Linked DNA regions of Drosophila melanogaster. The protein of the gene in region 1 interacts with the protein of each later gene in a pairwise test. Each region holds a gene or a part of one and is shown in the gene's direction. Other genes may lie near its edges.

Evidence for each region.
Region 2: the proteins of HP6 (region 1) and HP5 interact in a two-hybrid assay, tested with the Drosophila melanogaster proteins (2 studies listed by BioGRID).
Region 3: the proteins of HP6 (region 1) and Odj interact in a two-hybrid assay, tested with the Drosophila melanogaster proteins (one study listed by BioGRID).
Region 4: the proteins of HP6 (region 1) and HP4 interact in a two-hybrid assay, tested with the Drosophila melanogaster proteins (2 studies listed by BioGRID).

The regions. Positions count from the first base shown.
Region 1 is NT_033779.5:4,577,194-4,580,053, reverse strand, and holds HP6 (heterochromatin protein 6), read left to right. Parts: upstream 1-1,835; 5' UTR 1,836-1,950; coding exon 1,951-2,271; 3' UTR 2,272-2,335; downstream 2,336-2,860.
Region 2 is NC_004354.4:11,453,189-11,459,751, forward strand, and holds HP5 (heterochromatin protein 5), read left to right. Parts: upstream 1-1,597; 5' UTR 1,598-1,888; coding exon 1,889-2,003; intron 2,004-2,093; coding exon 2,094-3,299; coding exon of another isoform or gene 3,300-3,325; exon of another isoform or gene 3,326-3,396; coding exon of another isoform or gene 3,397-3,428; exon of another isoform or gene 3,429-3,466; coding exon 3,467-4,576; intron 4,577-5,041; coding exon 5,042-5,124; 3' UTR 5,125-6,039; downstream 6,040-6,563.
Region 3 is NT_033777.3:17,806,890-17,810,956, reverse strand, and holds Odj (oddjob), read left to right. Parts: upstream 1-1,734; 5' UTR 1,735-1,839; coding exon 1,840-1,956; intron 1,957-2,010; coding exon 2,011-2,741; intron 2,742-2,801; coding exon 2,802-2,921; intron 2,922-2,978; coding exon 2,979-3,303; 3' UTR 3,304-3,550; downstream 3,551-4,067. Other genes in the region: Alg1 (ALG1, chitobiosyldiphosphodolichol beta-mannosyltransferase), read left to right, coding at 1-477, 539-1,099, 1,158-1,377; CG17801 (uncharacterized protein), read left to right, coding at 3,888-4,010.
Region 4 is NT_037436.4:7,974,875-7,978,138, reverse strand, and holds HP4 (heterochromatin protein 4), read left to right. Parts: upstream 1-1,984; 5' UTR 1,985-2,094; coding exon 2,095-2,377; coding exon of another isoform or gene 2,378-2,397; exon of another isoform or gene 2,398-2,451; coding exon 2,452-2,489; 3' UTR 2,490-2,701; downstream 2,702-3,264. Other genes in the region: POP4 ribonuclease P/MRP subunit, read left to right, coding at 1-154; CG8209 (uncharacterized protein), read right to left, coding at 470-812, 869-1,471, 1,565-1,614; CG8042 (uncharacterized protein), read left to right, coding at 3,238-3,264.

The DNA.
Region 1 (2,860 bases):
CCACCAAAACACGACTATTTCACAAGACTAGAACAGATTGGTAGGATCTTTTATCATCGCTGACAGAAGGACACATCATAAATGTGAGGAATTTATAATGGGTTTTTGTTGCCCAGTCACGCGATGATCTCCGCTTGATGGCTTAGAAACCGACCATCAGGCAGAGCCAAGATCTATAAAAAAATTCCCAAGAAATACGTATAAGTATGTATGCATGAGCCAAACCCCTGCGGATTCCTTGGATCGCACTCTAATGATTTCCTGCTTAGGATACTGGGGCTCACCCATAAACCCAAATATGCTGCCGCTTCCCAAGAGCTGTCCCCCTGCCGTCCAATGATTAATGCGCCGATCCTTGTCCGATGCCGATGAGGCGAGAATGGGAATTATGTATTTGGGTTAATGTTACACCGCAGAGCAGCACGGCTGGCATTGCTTTAATTTTGTTTTAACACAAAAATTGCCAAGTACCAGTATTTATTTGATGTGCGCAATGCTGCGATCGGAGCTGTGACTTCGCCTTGGACGGCAATTTCCTTCCGTCGTGGTGGAGCCGCGCATCTTGATCGCCGGGTTCTCAGGCTGTGGCCAGAAAACTGGAATCCCAGAGAACCGATACCATTGCCGACGACGATGCCAGTGCTGCTGGCCATTTCAAAATCTAACTGTTAACTGCAAAAGTTGAACGTACTAGCAGCATGCAACATTCAACGGCTGCACCCACGGCATCAGCAGCATTAACGGCAGTACACTTGAAAAAATATGTTTTGAGAAGGAAAATTATTTCCTATGAAAAACTAATAATATATATGTTCTTAAATATAAAAGCTTTTGGAAAATGTAGAAAAAGTTTATGTTGTTTCTAAATACTTTTGGAATTAATTATTTTTCTGGAATACATACACACCGAGCCAAATATTCTTACACAAAAATCGATTAAATTGAAGAACTCATACATCACTTTCCTCAGTGTATGCAACTGCATCTGAGCGGGCAGCGAAACGAGTTGAAAGCCGTTTTCCCTGTTTGCCAGCCAGCTCTTGAAAGTGGTTTGTTGTCTAACTGCGTTAGTTGCTGCTTTAAATTGTGCGCCCAAGCAGCTCCAGCGGCGTTTAATGGCTCCAACTGGCGACCGGAGACCTCGGCTTTAACTGGCCACCCCGCCACCGACTTCTGTTTCTGTTTCTGATTCCGAATCGGATTCTTTTTGTTGCTGCAGCGGGTTCTCAGGCGGCGTTGGCTAAATGTCATAGCGGCGGATGCACCGAGCAGATTAATCATTAATCACATGCCCATCTGAGAGTACGAGACTTCCAATATGCGGAAATTACTGGCAGCTAGCTGTAGTATCCATATGCCCCATTCCCACCATCCCCATCACCTGGTGGCCGATCATTTCCGCCGACGAGTTGGGTTCCTTTATTTTGCCTTTATTTTGACACTGGGCCAGCAACGGCAATTACTGGCGGCGGTGCCACCGAAAACCCTCCTCCCTTCCGCCCTGATTTATGAGTTTTTAATGAGCGGCCACTTTACACGAATTCAAGTTAACAAGTGGAGCCGCGTAAGAGGCCAATATCGCAAGTAGTATCGCCGGCAATCGCGCCTTGACATTCGAGTCGTGCGAAATGTCAGATGAAGATGCACCAATGATACGCTCAATGGGCGTTGGAATGCACAATACCCTAACTAAATCTGAAAGAATATGTCCAGTCAAGGGGAGTGTACAATTTTATTTCCATTTTCTCTAACGCTTTTCAAATTAATCATTTAGGGCTGCCACATCGAAAGGGTTGCCAAAGCATGTCGATACCTACAGTTATCGAAACTGAAAAATAATATCTCGGTGTGTAAACACTTGACAAAACGTGACAATTGGCTACGCGCGTCGAAAAAAGAAAAATAGATTACATTGAAATAAATCCCACGATATCTAAAACCAAACGGAAGATGCCCAGCTCCACTTTGACGTCCTCTACTGCTCTTCCGGTGAAGCAACGAAATGGATTTGATCTTGGACTCGAACCGTTGCGGATCTTAGGAGCCTGCAACTGGTCCGGTAAGCTGACCTTTTTGATGCAGTGGAAGGGTTGCGACGAAGCCGGCCTGGTGCCCGCCGAAGTGCTCAACGTTCGGTGCCCCCAAATGGTCATCTCGTTCTACGAGGAGCGTATTGTGTTCACGGATGAGGGCGATGAAGAAGACTTGGAGTCGGACAATGGGTATGAGACCACTCCGAGTCCCAGGAAGAAACGATCACGAAATGCCTAGTCCATAAAACTATTGTGCACCGAAGACATTGCGGTGCAATGTCAATAAAGAGTATTGACTCTTCTGCCACGAGTTTTTCTTCATTTTCTGGTCGCCGTTGTCGCTGGTGATTGATTATGCATTTTCATGCGAACTGGTTGCTGATGCTGCACTTTGTTGGCATGCGGGCAGGTGAATAAGTGAGTTTAGCTCGGCCCAGCCACGCCCTCCGCCTCCTAGACGCAGCTTGATGTTGGAGACAGGCCGGCGGCATTATCTGCCGGGCGCGAAATTATACGTGTATGTATACACCGAGCGAAAAGTCTGTAGGGGTATTTGAAAGTTCATAAAAAAAACAGTTCATAAATGGTGCACTTGCCTCATTAAACTTTTTCCAGTGCACTTAATGCTGTCAGTGACCTTCACATCGGGGCGTTGGAAAACCTGCAATTAGAAAAGAAGGTTAAGCCGCAGGATCAGACTCAGCTCTCAGATTCCATGTTGCAGGCGCCTCAAGATTCACGCAGTCAACTAATACGTACATAAAAAAAAGGGTTAAATTGGTGGCGCACCTTTCTTGCAGCGACATTTTGACATTGAAAAAGTATAA
Region 2 (6,563 bases), on another chromosome or scaffold:
ACGAAAAGTGGGTGGAAAGCAAAGGAAAGGAGAGCAAGACAAGGTTACAACAGAGCAGGAACAACAACAACAACTAGTGGCAGGAGCAGCTGATGCGGTGGGAGTGGAAGAGCAAAGCGAATTGGGAAAGAGGAATTGGGAAAGGGAAGCGGGCAATGGGAAATGAGCAATGGGAATGGCAATAGGAATGGAAATGGAAAAGGAAGTAAGAGCAGGGCTGCCCTGTTGTCATTGTTGTTGTTGTTGCTCAGCGAAGCTGCAAAGAACGATGATGAACGATGATGAATGATGATGGACAATGAGCGATGAACAATGGACAATGGACGCTTTTAATTACATTAATGCGCGAAATTTAAGCATACAAAATTAGTTGTACCCGATTTTCTTTTGCTGCTTCGCTAATTTGTAAAAAAAAAAAGGTAGCAACAGACACACACACGCGAGCATAAACCCACACAGACAGCGAAAGAAAGTTTCTGTATTTTTTCCCACTCCACTTTTTTCGTTGATAATGTTTACACACACACATTGAGTTTTTTTACGGAAGAAGTAAAGATGATGAAGAAGAACGACACATAAAATATAAATAAAGATGCTGGAACCTCACCTTTGCTGCTGCTTCTTCGGCCACTGTAAATGAACCGTTAGGCTGGAACAGGGGGTGGTGGTGGTTGCGTTAGTGCGCTGCTGCTGTTGTTGTTGCTGTTGCGGCAGCAACAAATTGCCGTTGTTTATCGTTTTTTTTTTATCCGCGTTTCGTTTTCAATCAGCTAGACTTTTCCACATTCGACGAACTCAATATGTCGCGATCAACTCGTATCCGATCGAGAATCGTTTGCATTAACTTTATAATACACGATTATTTTGACGACACTACCGAACTTTTTGCTGCTGTAAACGTCACACAAACACACACACACACACACGCACAGGCAATTGCACACACCTCAGCAGCAGCAATTTTTTCTCTCGCCCTCTCTCCCTATGCTGTTCTGTATGACTTTATTTTTATTTAAATACTAGTACTTTTTTTAAAAGGACTACTTTAATTCAATCACTCGTTATACATCGACCGAATATTGCACTGGAAAAAAATACAGCGTTCGTTCGACGACGGTGAATTCACGAATGTTTTTTTTCGCCCACTGGCGGTGTGACCGTCGCGCAAAAGCTGAAGTAAGCCGCTAAATAAGTATTACCATATACTAAAATTCTCTGAAGCGCAGATAGCTGATAACCGATAGAAAAGTTTCTACTGCATTATCGATTATTTGAATAATACCAAAAATACCAATGATAGCTGTTTAGCACAGACTCAAACCTGTACAGTGGGCTGCAAGTGCTGTTATTACATGTTTGTAAATGATTTTGAAACATTCAACCATATGAGATAAGTATGAATCTTAATGGAGTTATGTTGCTCAGAGTAATAAGTTGTTGTTCAGCATTCCATTGATGAAAAGTGTCCATAAGATCTTTGTCGTTTAATGATAGGAAATAGGCTATTTGTTGATAAATTTAAAATACATTTTGTGGTTAATGATTGTTGGCGACATAAATAACCCATAAAAATGCGCCGAGGCGGTGAAATATTTTCGCGGTATCTGCGCACGGGCACACCAGCTAGATGGCGTCTTTAGGAGTGTGTAAAATTAATCAGGAAAGTTACCTGAATGCAAACGCGATTTTAAAAGTCGCATCTGCTGATTAAGTGGGCAAATCGAGTGCTCCTCGCGCCACAATTAGTCCGTGGTACAGTGGCCTCACTAATTGCGCAAAACACACATCTGTAAGCGCATATTAACCGTATATTTTAAAGCGGTAAATCTGCGCTCTTTGCTAATTTTCATTTTCGTGGGAAAATCGCAAAGGGCTGAAACCTGCGATAATGGATATTTTTGATATGGTCAAAGCGGCGCCGCCGCCGCAAACTATTAATCCGGTGGACACCAAGCTCTCCACTCCGTCGCCCATACCGCCCGATTCGCCAATCGACGTAAATGGTAAATTGAGCATAATTTTGTTTGCCTGCAAATTGGCTGGCAATCCTAGAAGTTTAATAACCTCCAATCGTTTTTTCCATTTTCTGTCAGACCTCCTGGAGAGTGGAAACCAATTGGACGAGAATGACTTGCGCATGTCGAGAAAATCAAAGAATGTCGAACAGTGCAGCATTGATCTGTTTGATTCGGAAACATCATTCGACCATCTCGACGAGTCATTGGCCAAGAGGAAGCGTAAGAGCGTGGCTAACTCAAAACCAAACAAAAGCAGGAAATCCACTGTCTCTGCATCGACGCCGCACAACAAGAGGCCAAAAGTGTCCATTGACGACGACGGCGAGGCCATCGAGGAGGACCAGCAATCGATGGTGGTCGTTCCCACCAAGACGAAGGCTCAGCAAAAGATGTTCAGCGATCAGCAGTCGCCGAATGTTAAAAGAAAGGTGCGGGTGCTATTACGTCGCCTGAAACAGACAGAAATCGATTCGGCCGTCGAATCTTTGGCCAATTCATCATTTATCAATGTGCCCGAGATCGTTAACCAGAGCGGTACTAGTGGCCGTAGCAGGCACAAAAAGAGAAAAACGTCACCTAAGAAACAAAAGTCATCAACAGCGCAGACCAATTTCCACATCAAAGTTCCTTTGCAGAATGGCGCCAAAAAGCGTGCTCTGAACCACTCGTTGCGCGCTCATACACCGCCGCCCAGTTTGGCCAAGAGTTCTGAAAGCACACACTCCGCACTGAAGCGAAGTCCCAAGCCCAAGATCAAGGCGAAGAGATTATCCAGTCGCGGACGCAACACCGATCCGGATTTGGTTAAGCGTTATGGCGCGCATTTCTTTGGCTGTGTGGTGAAGGTGAGGAGGACGCGTTTACCAAGTGCCAAGTGGCCTGACTGCAAACCGCCTCCCATTGGCGACGGAGTTGTCAGGAAGGTGTATCCCAAGAAGGCGGTATCCTTCAGCGAGGCCGTCGAGATTCTGGGCAGCCCCGGGGGTCCATCACGTCGGTCTACTTTCGGTTCGCTTTCATCGAGAGGAGCTCCGAAACCGACACGACTGCAGCGTGTGGATGCCACTGGCAATGTGCTGGAGGACATAGCACTGACCTCCACGCCGCTCTTCTCGTCATCTTCTGGAGGCTCGCGCGAGCGGGTTAGGCGCCGCTCATGCAACGGTACGCCTGTGGTCGGAAGGCTCAAGTTACGCAGGTTGGGCCGCCTAAGCATAGACAACAGCTCCTCCAGGTCTGATGGAGGTGGAGATAATGATGATGACGATGAGGAGTATATAGGTAGGAGGATGCACTTATTAAACTGACATCAAACTCGATGTAATCGCATTAATCATGTCTCATTTTGTATTAAATGATTTCGTTATTTTTATGACAGGATTTGACCAAATCAAATTAAAGAAGAATTGAGCTAAAACTAATGCAATTCTCTCCATTTTTACGTCCAGTGCCCAACGATGTGCCGGGGTCCCAGAGATCTGGAACGCCTCCGCCCAAGAAAAAGAAGATATCCTTCACCACGACCATCAGTGATGATGAGGACGAAAAGCCGGTACTAAAAAAGCAGAAGGATGCACAAAAAAAGCAGCCAAAACCCCTAAAAGAAAGATCAAACAAAAAGACGGACAAGATGCTAAACGAAAAGGAGACGACTGACAAAATGCAAACGAAAAAGGAGAAAAAAACGGAAAACTCACCAGTTGTGGAAATTGAATCCTCCGATCCTGATGTCGAAATCAAACCACCAGTGAAGGAAATCGAAACGAATGAGCGAGAGGGAGACGCACACGAAACTGAGACAAATGAAGTAGAAAGAGATAGAGAAGAACAATTTGTGGATGCAACAGAGAAAAATACAGATGAGGCGAAGGAAAAAAAAGTAGTAAAAGATATGCCAGAGTTAAAAGAGGCTGACAATTCGGAGGAAAAATCGGAAGATGCTCGAGAAGAAGTTTTGCTAGACGAGGACGAGAAAAATCTGGAGGAAAATGCAGCTGAAATCAGCGATAACGCCGTCAAATCTTTAGAAAAACCAACGAACGAAGACAGGGTTGAGAAAGTAGAGGACGAGGTCGAGCATGCCGAGGAGTTCAGTGACTTGCCGACCCCACCACAGCTCCCGTCCACAACTGACGATAACGAAGATGACGTGCTGGAGATCCAGACGTCGTTGGACGATGTCCGTCAATTGCATACGCCATCATCCCGCCAGAGTACGCCCAAATCGCGCAGTCGCCTCGATTCCGGTGACTCCGATTGCAGCTTTAAGTCCGCCAGCGATAACGCCAAGCTGCTAGCTGGACAAGCCATTGAGGAAACAGAGCAGAAAGCAAGCAAAGCGCCGAACGATGACGAGGATCAACAAACAGCAGCAACCATCATCGGTGATCCCATCGATTCACCCGAACTGCCGGCCGAGCTTATGACCCCGCCCTCGGCGCCCAGGACAGTGAATGGTGAACCCACCAGCGAATCCAGATCAACGGCAACGACATACTACTCGCCCATGGAGGATCCCATGGCCACGCTAGATGACGTCATCATGGACCAGCTATCCGGTGAGTGCCAGACGATCGCCTCCATCGCAAGGCAATCTCAAATAATAGCATGAATACTTAGGGAGTACAAGTGGGGACTGTTAAGTCTTCAAGACAGTAAAGTACGTCATTTTCTACTTTAATTCTTGCCAAGTAGTCTCGCTTTTCACGAAACTTCTCTATTTTGTGAGGCCAAAAACTCTTACGTTAAAGCTCTAGTGACACTTGGTCATTGGTCAAGCATTCCATTGATTGATTTAATGAACATTCGCCCGTTGCGTACATTTGTCATTAAAACAACTACTTAATAGGCATTTTTTGTACTTTCTCTGGTCTTCTCTAAGTCTGGGTATCTTAATTAAGTGTAAGTGTATAGGCAATGCACAATTTCCAGTTGCAATTTGAACTTGCTTATATTTCATACTTTCGTAAATGTTAATTTGAATGCACCTTCTAATAACTATTTGCTCTGCTTATGCCTTTTAGAACCCAACTTTCAGTTGAACTCCAGCCGCCATGCCATCTCGAGGGGTACACTGGACGAAATAATGACCGCGTTAGAATCGTAGTAAGCTGGCAAATTGCGCACCAAGTACAGATAGACAGATACAGATCGAAACCGAAGCATACACACAGACACAGACATAGCTACAAACTCACACGCACACACGTAGGTTTATTAAGGACCGATTAATTTGTACATTTAACTGAATTTATAATTAGTTCTCCCTACGATCAAGAAGTAGTCTTACGTTTATTTTTAAAGACATATTCAATTTATATGCAAACTCACGTTGAAAATACCAAAGTATTTTTGCAAGAGAAAGCTATTGGTGCAAACGTTAATATTTTGCACTTATATGATTGCTAAATTAGTCAGCAAAACAGGGACAAAATTTAACACAGCTCACTCACTCAACTTGCAAATGTGTGCGATAGACCGTAAAAATTAATATTTTAATATTATTAACGGTTAAGCGGAATCAGAAAATCAATTTTCAATGTTTAAGCTACTTAAACAGAGCGTTACGTTAGTTTGACTTTCAAGAATACGTATTGTTCGTTTCTCATCCTTTTTTTTTTTGACAACTTAGATTTAAGAAACACTTGCGTTCATGCACATATATAAATATAAATATATATATTTAAGTATGGATCGTCTTAAATGTACTGTAAGTTCAATGTATTAATGTACATCATCATCATAAAATGTATGTATGTAAAAAGAAAACAGATTAAAAATGGATAAAATATGTTGCCAGTTTTCAATGGGATTGGCTGAGAAACTTTTTCGAAATTTGCCGCCATTTGAAGATGTTGCCACATTCGAACATTGACGTTGCCATATTGTGAAAAGTCTTGTACCGTTTATTTTAAGCTATGTAAAAATGATGTTATTTTTATTACCTAACATGTTTTTTTTTTCACAGAATATTCTACAGTTAATTTATACAGATTGAATAAATTTAATGTGCTAGAAAGAGATTTTTTTGTGACTAATTTGAATAGATAAATGGAAAGATGTTATCTTGCTTTATGAACAACACACACTTAACTTTCTGATATATTTATCAATCACAGGATAACTTAAGCTCGTTTTTATTAATGTTCTATTATATAATTAATATAATAAAATGTTTCTATACACAAGCAACCATCGCTCAGCGTTTCCGTTCTTATATATTCTTATTATAATAAGTATTATTTCGAATTTATGCAACGATTTTACGTTCGTTCAGTTTCGCGGCCAACGTTGCCACATGTTGCCACACGCTTGCCCCCAAAGGTGGCCACCTTTCATGCAGAGCCCCGCGTATCCAATGCAGCGCCAAAAGCAAAACAGTCGCAACTTTGACTTGTTGACGGTTGGTTCTCCTCGGGATTCTGGGGCCGCGTCAAAATTCCAGATCGTTTGGCGCGAGTGCGAACTATTTCAAAAGTTGCCCCTTTGCGTGAGACGTGCCCCCGAAATGTTGAACTCACAGGACCAAAGCGGGCCGGGCCCCTG
Region 3 (4,067 bases), on another chromosome or scaffold:
TGCCCAGAGTCTTCTCGAGGAGAACTACCACGTGGACATGATTGGGTATCTGGAGACGAGGCCGCTGGAGGAACTGACTCAACATCCACGTTGCCGAATCCACGAGCTAACTGCCGTCCCAGTGACGAACCTAACACCCAAACTGCGCCTGCTCTTCAAGGCCTTTTGGCAGACGCTCAGTCTGCTGATGGCTCTCATCTCCATTGGCCGTCCCAGCTTCCTACTCGTCCAGAATCCGCCCGGCATTCCCACGCTGATTGTGTGCTATCTGTACTGTGCGGTCACACGAACCAAGCTGGCCATCGATTGGCACAACTACACGTACACAGTGCTGGCATTGGGAATGTCGAAGGGAGAGCAGAGTCCTCTAATACGATTGGTTAGGCGACTGGAGCGATACTTCGGCTCCAAGGCACACACACACTTCTGTGTGACGCGGGCCATGCAAGAGGATCTGCAGCAAAACTGGGGCATTGGGTAAGTCCTCATCACATCCATCTAAACGAAGTAAATAACTCAGCCGCGACTCATCTTTCAGGCCTGTCAAAGTTCTGTATGATCGTGCGCCCGCGCAATTCCATCCCATCGACTTGACTCACAAGCACGAGCTGTACCTGAAGCTGGCCAAAGACTACCCACAGTTCCAGGCCAAGGACGCCGAACAATCCGATGTTCTGGAGGCCACCGCTCTTACCCAAAAGCTGGCCAGCGGTGTTGTGCAGTACAGACCACAGCGACAAGCCGTGCTGGTTTCCAGCACCAGTTGGACGCCGGACGAGGACTTCGGTATACTGCTTAAGGCTTTGCAAGCTTACGAGGAGACTGCGCAAGCAGAGCCGTTGGTTTATCCTTCCCTGCTGTGTATCATCACCGGAAAGGGGCCACAAAAGGAGCACTATGTGGCGGAGATCGAGAAGCTGCAATGGCAGAAGGTGTCGGTGATCACGCCCTGGCTAGAGATCGAGGACTACCCCACTGTTCTGGCCAGCGCCGACCTGGGCGTGTGTCTGCACTGGAGCACCAGTGGGCTCGACCTGCCCATGAAGGTGGTCGACATGTTCGGCAGCGGGCTGCCTGTCTGCGCCTACGATTTCAAGTGGTAACTAATCCTGCCATTTACTATTATTACTTACTAACTTCTACAAATGGCTCTTTAGCCTGGATGAGCTGGTGAAGCACGGCGAGAATGGCTTCGTGTTTGGCGACCATGTTCAGCTGGCCGAGCAGCTGAGGATTTGGTTCGAAAATTTTCCAAAGAATCCCAGCATCCTGGAGACAAGAGCTGGTTTTCAGCGCAAAATCCAGGAGTTCCAGGAGCTGCGATGGCGGGAGAGTTGGCGCCTGATCGCGGCCCCCGTACTGGAGGCATTTCTATAGAGCATTTTGACAAAGATTTGACAATTACACGTTATGAGAGACTTCCTTTGATTGCTAATCGCTTTTTCTAGGCTAGTTACTACAAATTCTGTACACAAAAGAGCTTCAAACTTGCTTATGATGCTTATTTTATTTTTATAATCGTAGCCTAAAGATAAAAATAAATTGCTAAAAAAAGGAGATATATACAACTATTTATTCGCTTGTAAAGCGTGTTTTCTTAGGAGTATTATGTATTTCAATTAAAAAAGAAAATTCACGGGATGCAGTGCCGATTTTTTTTTATTTGAACACCAATATCGATAGTCTGAAATAAACATCGATATATCGGAAAATTTTAAAAACATCAATGTTTGACACCTCTAGTTGCGGACAACGGTCACACTTCAAAACCAAACCGGCTGCGCAAAAATTACTATAATTTGTAATTAAAATTAATCAATTTTATTTAGTTTCGAAAGAATGAGCACCGAGTGTCGGATCTGCGGCGAGCGCATCTTCACGCCGCACCCAAAGAACATCTTCGAGAAGCGCAATCATCGCATTCGGATGGCCATCGAGCAAATCACGGGCTTAGAGGTGGCGTCCCTTTTATTTGTTGTCCGGAATTATTCATAATCTATGCATTTCCAGATCGTTTTAGAGAATATGCTGCCCCAGCACATATGCGCTTGTTGTCTCCTGGACCTGACCCAAGCCGTAGCCTTCAGGCAGCGATGCCTGGAGACGCACGCAAATCTCCACCAGAGGATCTCCTCGAAGGCGGGTGTCGCCTCAAAAGGCTCCCCGGAGGTTTCGCCAGTGCTTAGTGATCCGCTGCTGAAACGGGAGGTGCTGGATGATACAGTAGACACCGAGGACGATAAGGAGCTACTGGACGATGATAAGGATTTAATGGATGATGATAAGGATTTCTTGGAGGACGAAAAGCCGATTTTAAGATATCCTCCGGCCAAAAAAATCCGGATCGAGGACCAAAATTTCCCGAACAGACAGTCCCCACGAGTCAGGGTCAAGCGGCTTCGTGTGCCTGTGGTCGAGAAGGCAGATAGTCCACCGCCACCTCCGCGGGAGCACGTCCGAAAGCCCAGAAAGCGGCGACCAAAACCCAAGGTCGATCGCTCGATAAAGCGATACGTGTGCGACCAGTGCGGTTGGTCGTTCAACGATCACAGCAACATGAAGGATCACAAGCTGCGGCACTTCGAGGAGAAGTTTTCATGCGACGAGTGCGGTCGCAAGTTCTACACCATGCCACTGCTCCGATTGCACATTCGAGTCCATCACAAGGGCGAGAAACCGTACGTCTGCAAGTTCTGCGGTATGGGATTCGCCAATAGTCCCAGCCGCTGTCGTCATGAACGGTGAGTGCTGGCCTAATCATCACAAGTCCTTATCTATATAAACCATAAAAACCTTGACAGTCAAATGCATGCCAACGAGCTGGTGCACCCGTGCAAAATATGCGGCAAACGATTCAACAGCGAGAAGGGACGGCTGAAGCACGAGGAGGGGCACAAGAGTGACCAACCGGATGTCCATATGTAAGAATCATTGAAATATACGTAGCCATAGATGTACAAACTCATATTCTTTCACAGCTGCCTCACATGCAACAAGGAGTTCAAGGAGGCGCAGTTTTTGCATCGGCACTACTCCACAAAGTATCACCGCAAGCGGGTCAACTTGCTGGTTAATGGTCCAAAAGAGGAATTCCAGTCTGAAGTCGATCCGGCGGAGTTTCCGGGATATATGGAAGAGGGGCAGGCAGAAATGGAGGACAACCAGGCTGAACTGGACGTAATGTTAGATAACATTGACGAGGAACAATATGAGGACCACGAGGTACTTCAGGATGAGGACGCAAATTTTGAGGACTTCGAGTACGAGGAAGCCATTCCCGATGGAGAGGAGCTGTACACCTAACTTTAAGCACACAAAAAAAATCGACTGTTGGCGCCACACACTCCACACTCCACACGCCACAATGCCAGGGATGCAAACTATCTGACTTTTTCGGTGGTTCAGAGAAATCCTTTGAATCACCAGCCAGCCGTACGATTAGCACCAGTGTGGAAGGAATTCAACGTCGGTCTTAGATTACAATTTGTTATAAAATATATTTTATTCTAATTGCACAGCGCGCTTATTTTAATAAAAATTATATGGAACCAATTTCAAAAACGTCAGGAATTAGCCGAACGTGTGTTTTAGCTTGAACCTCTCTTTTTGGGAAAATTTAACCTCCCGTTTATAATATATAAATTTTAAATTATAAAAACTAGCTCGATGTTCCCTGGTTTCTAGGAAATAAGAACAGTTAGTTTTTCCACACCTATCTGGTAACGCCATGAAACAGGTAATTCATACAAATTTTGCTGCTTAGAGAGAGTAAACAGAAATTCTCGGATTGCGTACGCTCTTTTACCGTTTTTATTCCATAATTGACAACATAAAATCAATTAAACTACAGCTGATTGTTTTGGGAATTCAGCGGGATAAATGATCATATGTTTGAAATGAAAAAGCCTTCGCAATGCCATTTGTGCGCCTCGTGTTTCTGTCACCTGAATCCCACGATAATTTTTTGCCTGGAAGTTCTGGCCAAGATCAAGGATCTCACTGGAATATGGGTATGTTGATGGTTTCTTGTGTGCGTGAATGGCATAACCCATTTACTCCATTTACAG
Region 4 (3,264 bases), on another chromosome or scaffold:
GGACCATCGGCTGCGCACAATACCCAAGAGCGAGTGCGTCTTTGGTATGAAAGTGGGCAACATGGAGTTCACCATATTCGGGCAGCACCTCAACATTCGACCCGCCGAGCGAAGCGTTAAGAAGATCAAGAACTTTGTGAAGCCCTTCATGTAGGAACTACAGGACCAATCATTAGCCATAGAAATTGAATCCTATTGTAATTTAAGGAAAAAAGTTTATTGGAAAGTTAGCATCGCTTTTCAATAGAAATTTAATAATTGCCCTCAAAGATCCTCTAAAACTTTACTTGTATTTGAGATTGTTGTGTTTAATATATATATAAAACCGTACATTAATTGTTTTTCTTGTTTTTTTTTTTTTTTTTTGGGGGGGGGGGGGTATATTTCGCGCCGCGTTTTTTTCGTATTTAGGTTCTAGTTTATGGGAGAGATTACCCGGATTCAAATATATCCAGTTTGTAGGAAAGATTTATGCGGGCGTCTTGGTCATGGTGATGACAGCGGATGGAACCAAGCCGAGCACTTCCAGCGGCTTCTCGTAGTCGTCCTCGGCGAACAGCTTGCGCGGAAAGGTGGTCATCAGAGAGAAGGGCGACTCGATGCCGGTCTTCATCTGGATGAACACACGTACGGCGGACAGCTGCTCCTTGACGTTGAAGGTTTCCTGTAGTGTTGAGCCATCCTGCAGGCGCACCTGGATGCGGGTTTCGGTGTAGTCTCGCGGCGGAGATTTCACACCGGCCGGTGGTGACGAAACTGTGGTGGAGCTCACGGATGGAGCTGGCTCTGCGTTGCCCAATTCCTTTTGTTCTCTGCATACCATGAATTATAATGAATTATGAAGTGGAAGGATAGGGCTAATCCTTACCTAGCCTTGCGTGCTGCCTTGTCCGCCTCAATTTGAGCCTTTACCCGATCGCGGGCCGCCTTCTCCTCGTCCTTTTCGCGCTTGCGCTGCTCAACGATCTTCTTCATCTCCAACTCCTCCATGCGCCGCTTGGCCTCGGTCATGTCCTTGCCGGACTTGATGCGATTCTTTTCCCGCTGCAGGGCTTCGATTTTCTCGCGCTCCTCGCGTTCGATGCGTTTCTGCTTGAGCTTCTCCTCGATGAGGGCCAGCTGGGCCTTCTTCTCCTCCTCGGTGAGCGCCTTCTTTTCCTCCTCCGATTCGGAGAATTTGGTGTGACCGGTTTTGGCGGCATGGTACTCCACTTCGGTGTGATCTCTAAGAACTTTGCCGCATTCGTCGCACTTCAGGGACTTGGCTACCGGAGCAGAGGTTTCACCTGCGCCACTGGTGCTACTGGAAGCTGCTGCGGCCGAGGAATCCACAGCCGCAGCTGGTTGAGCTGTGGAACCAGGGGATTCGCCGGCACCTTGACGGGATGGTATTGGATCATCCACGTGGGCCAGCAGCCACTCCATTGCCGGTTCTACGCCCTTGTTACTGGTCACCTCCAGTGCATATTCACTGTGAAATATATTTCAGGATTAAAGCAAATTCGATTGTTGCAGTGTAACTTATTTTGCCGGTGACCAGTTGGCCATTGTATTCGATACTTACACACGTTCCCGAGGGAATCCCATATCCATCAATGTCTGCACTTCACTCATAGCGTTGGCTGATTGCGTCCCAAAAATTAATAGTTCAGTTTCGTATATTTATGAAAACGAAAAATTAACAATGACACACAAAAACAAAGCCAGGCGAGATGGATAACTATCGATAGCTCGACCCGTGGTATATATCGGTGTAATGCAATAGTTGCAGCTATGGCAAACAAAAATGATAAATAAATAGTTTTAAATATAATATAAATTTTAAATATATAGTAAATAAATTAAGACAAGGAGCGGACAACCAAATACATTCCATAATTCTTTTAATTTTTTTTATAGATATTACACATACTTTTAAATAAGCATTCCATATAGCTGAAATCTACCCATCATTTTCGAGTAGTGTAGTGCCACCACCACCATAGATAGTTCGAGGTTGCCTGCGACGTTTACCAACTCTGCAAATTTGGCGTCTACGGAGATAGGTTTTTTCGACTTTGAAAGAGAAATTTCAACAATTTTATAATCAAAACCATGTCACCGAAGACTAAAAAAATGATCGTCAAGATTCCGCGCCATCCCTACTTCAATGTGCAGGGCGAACGGAGCGTGGAGCGCGAGGTGGAGTACCAGGTCCGAAAGTGTCGCGTGAATCTGGAGCGCATCAAGTCGTCGACTTCTCCGAATTCCCGTCCATTCCCGTTAAAACCGAAGCCCAAGAGATGCATTGTACGTGTAGCCCGACTGCCGGACGTGGAGCGCAGCGAGATTTCCGTGACACCGGCCAGTTCCATCATGAATTCCGACATTGACGAGAGTAGGTGCCAGGTCTTCTAGGGAACCTACGCCACAGACTACTTTAAAGCATTCTTCTTCATGTTATCCTTACAGATAGTGGCAGCGATCAGGAGTCTAATCTGACAATCTAGTCGTCTCATACTCAAAGAGCAATCAACGCATCCAGCTGACAAACTTCTAATCGCACTTGGAGTCATTCGAAGTACACAGAGTACATGTCCAAGATAAACCAAATAGATGTGCGGGGCTATCCTTTTCCTGAATATATATGTATAAGATCCTTATCTAAGACTTTATGCAAATCAAGCTCGATTTCTTAATACAAACTCGTGCGCCTAAATAGAATTTTCTCTTGTTTTTCATATTTAGCTATAAGTTATCTAGCAAACTTGAATCCACTTTATTTTATATACCAGATAGGATTTATTATGTAGACCATTTCATATGGATAATTTCATCGGCATATAATTGTATGTGCTGTGATTTTTTACAACAACAAATGTTTGATTAAATTTGTAAGGAATTGTTGTATTTTTTTGGAATTTCTAGAATATTCACAAAATTTCAAAAAATGAATTTAAAAAATGGCGGCAATAAGATTTTATCGAGTTGTGTTATCGACCATTAGATATCAGCTTTTCATTTAAAACTTTGGTAAAATAAATATACAACACTTCACTCTTTAAAAACGGGAATAAAAGAACATTAAATATTTTAAAATAATTATTTTTATTTAAAAACATATATTTTTAGACCACTTATCGACAGATCTATATATCGATACCCGGGAGTCAGCTGTCGGCAGAAAAATATTTCTGGAATAACAAAAACAGACAAAATTACCCGTATCCGAACCGAGTCGTTATTCCAACACCAAACATGAACTGGCACAAGGGCAACATTGCG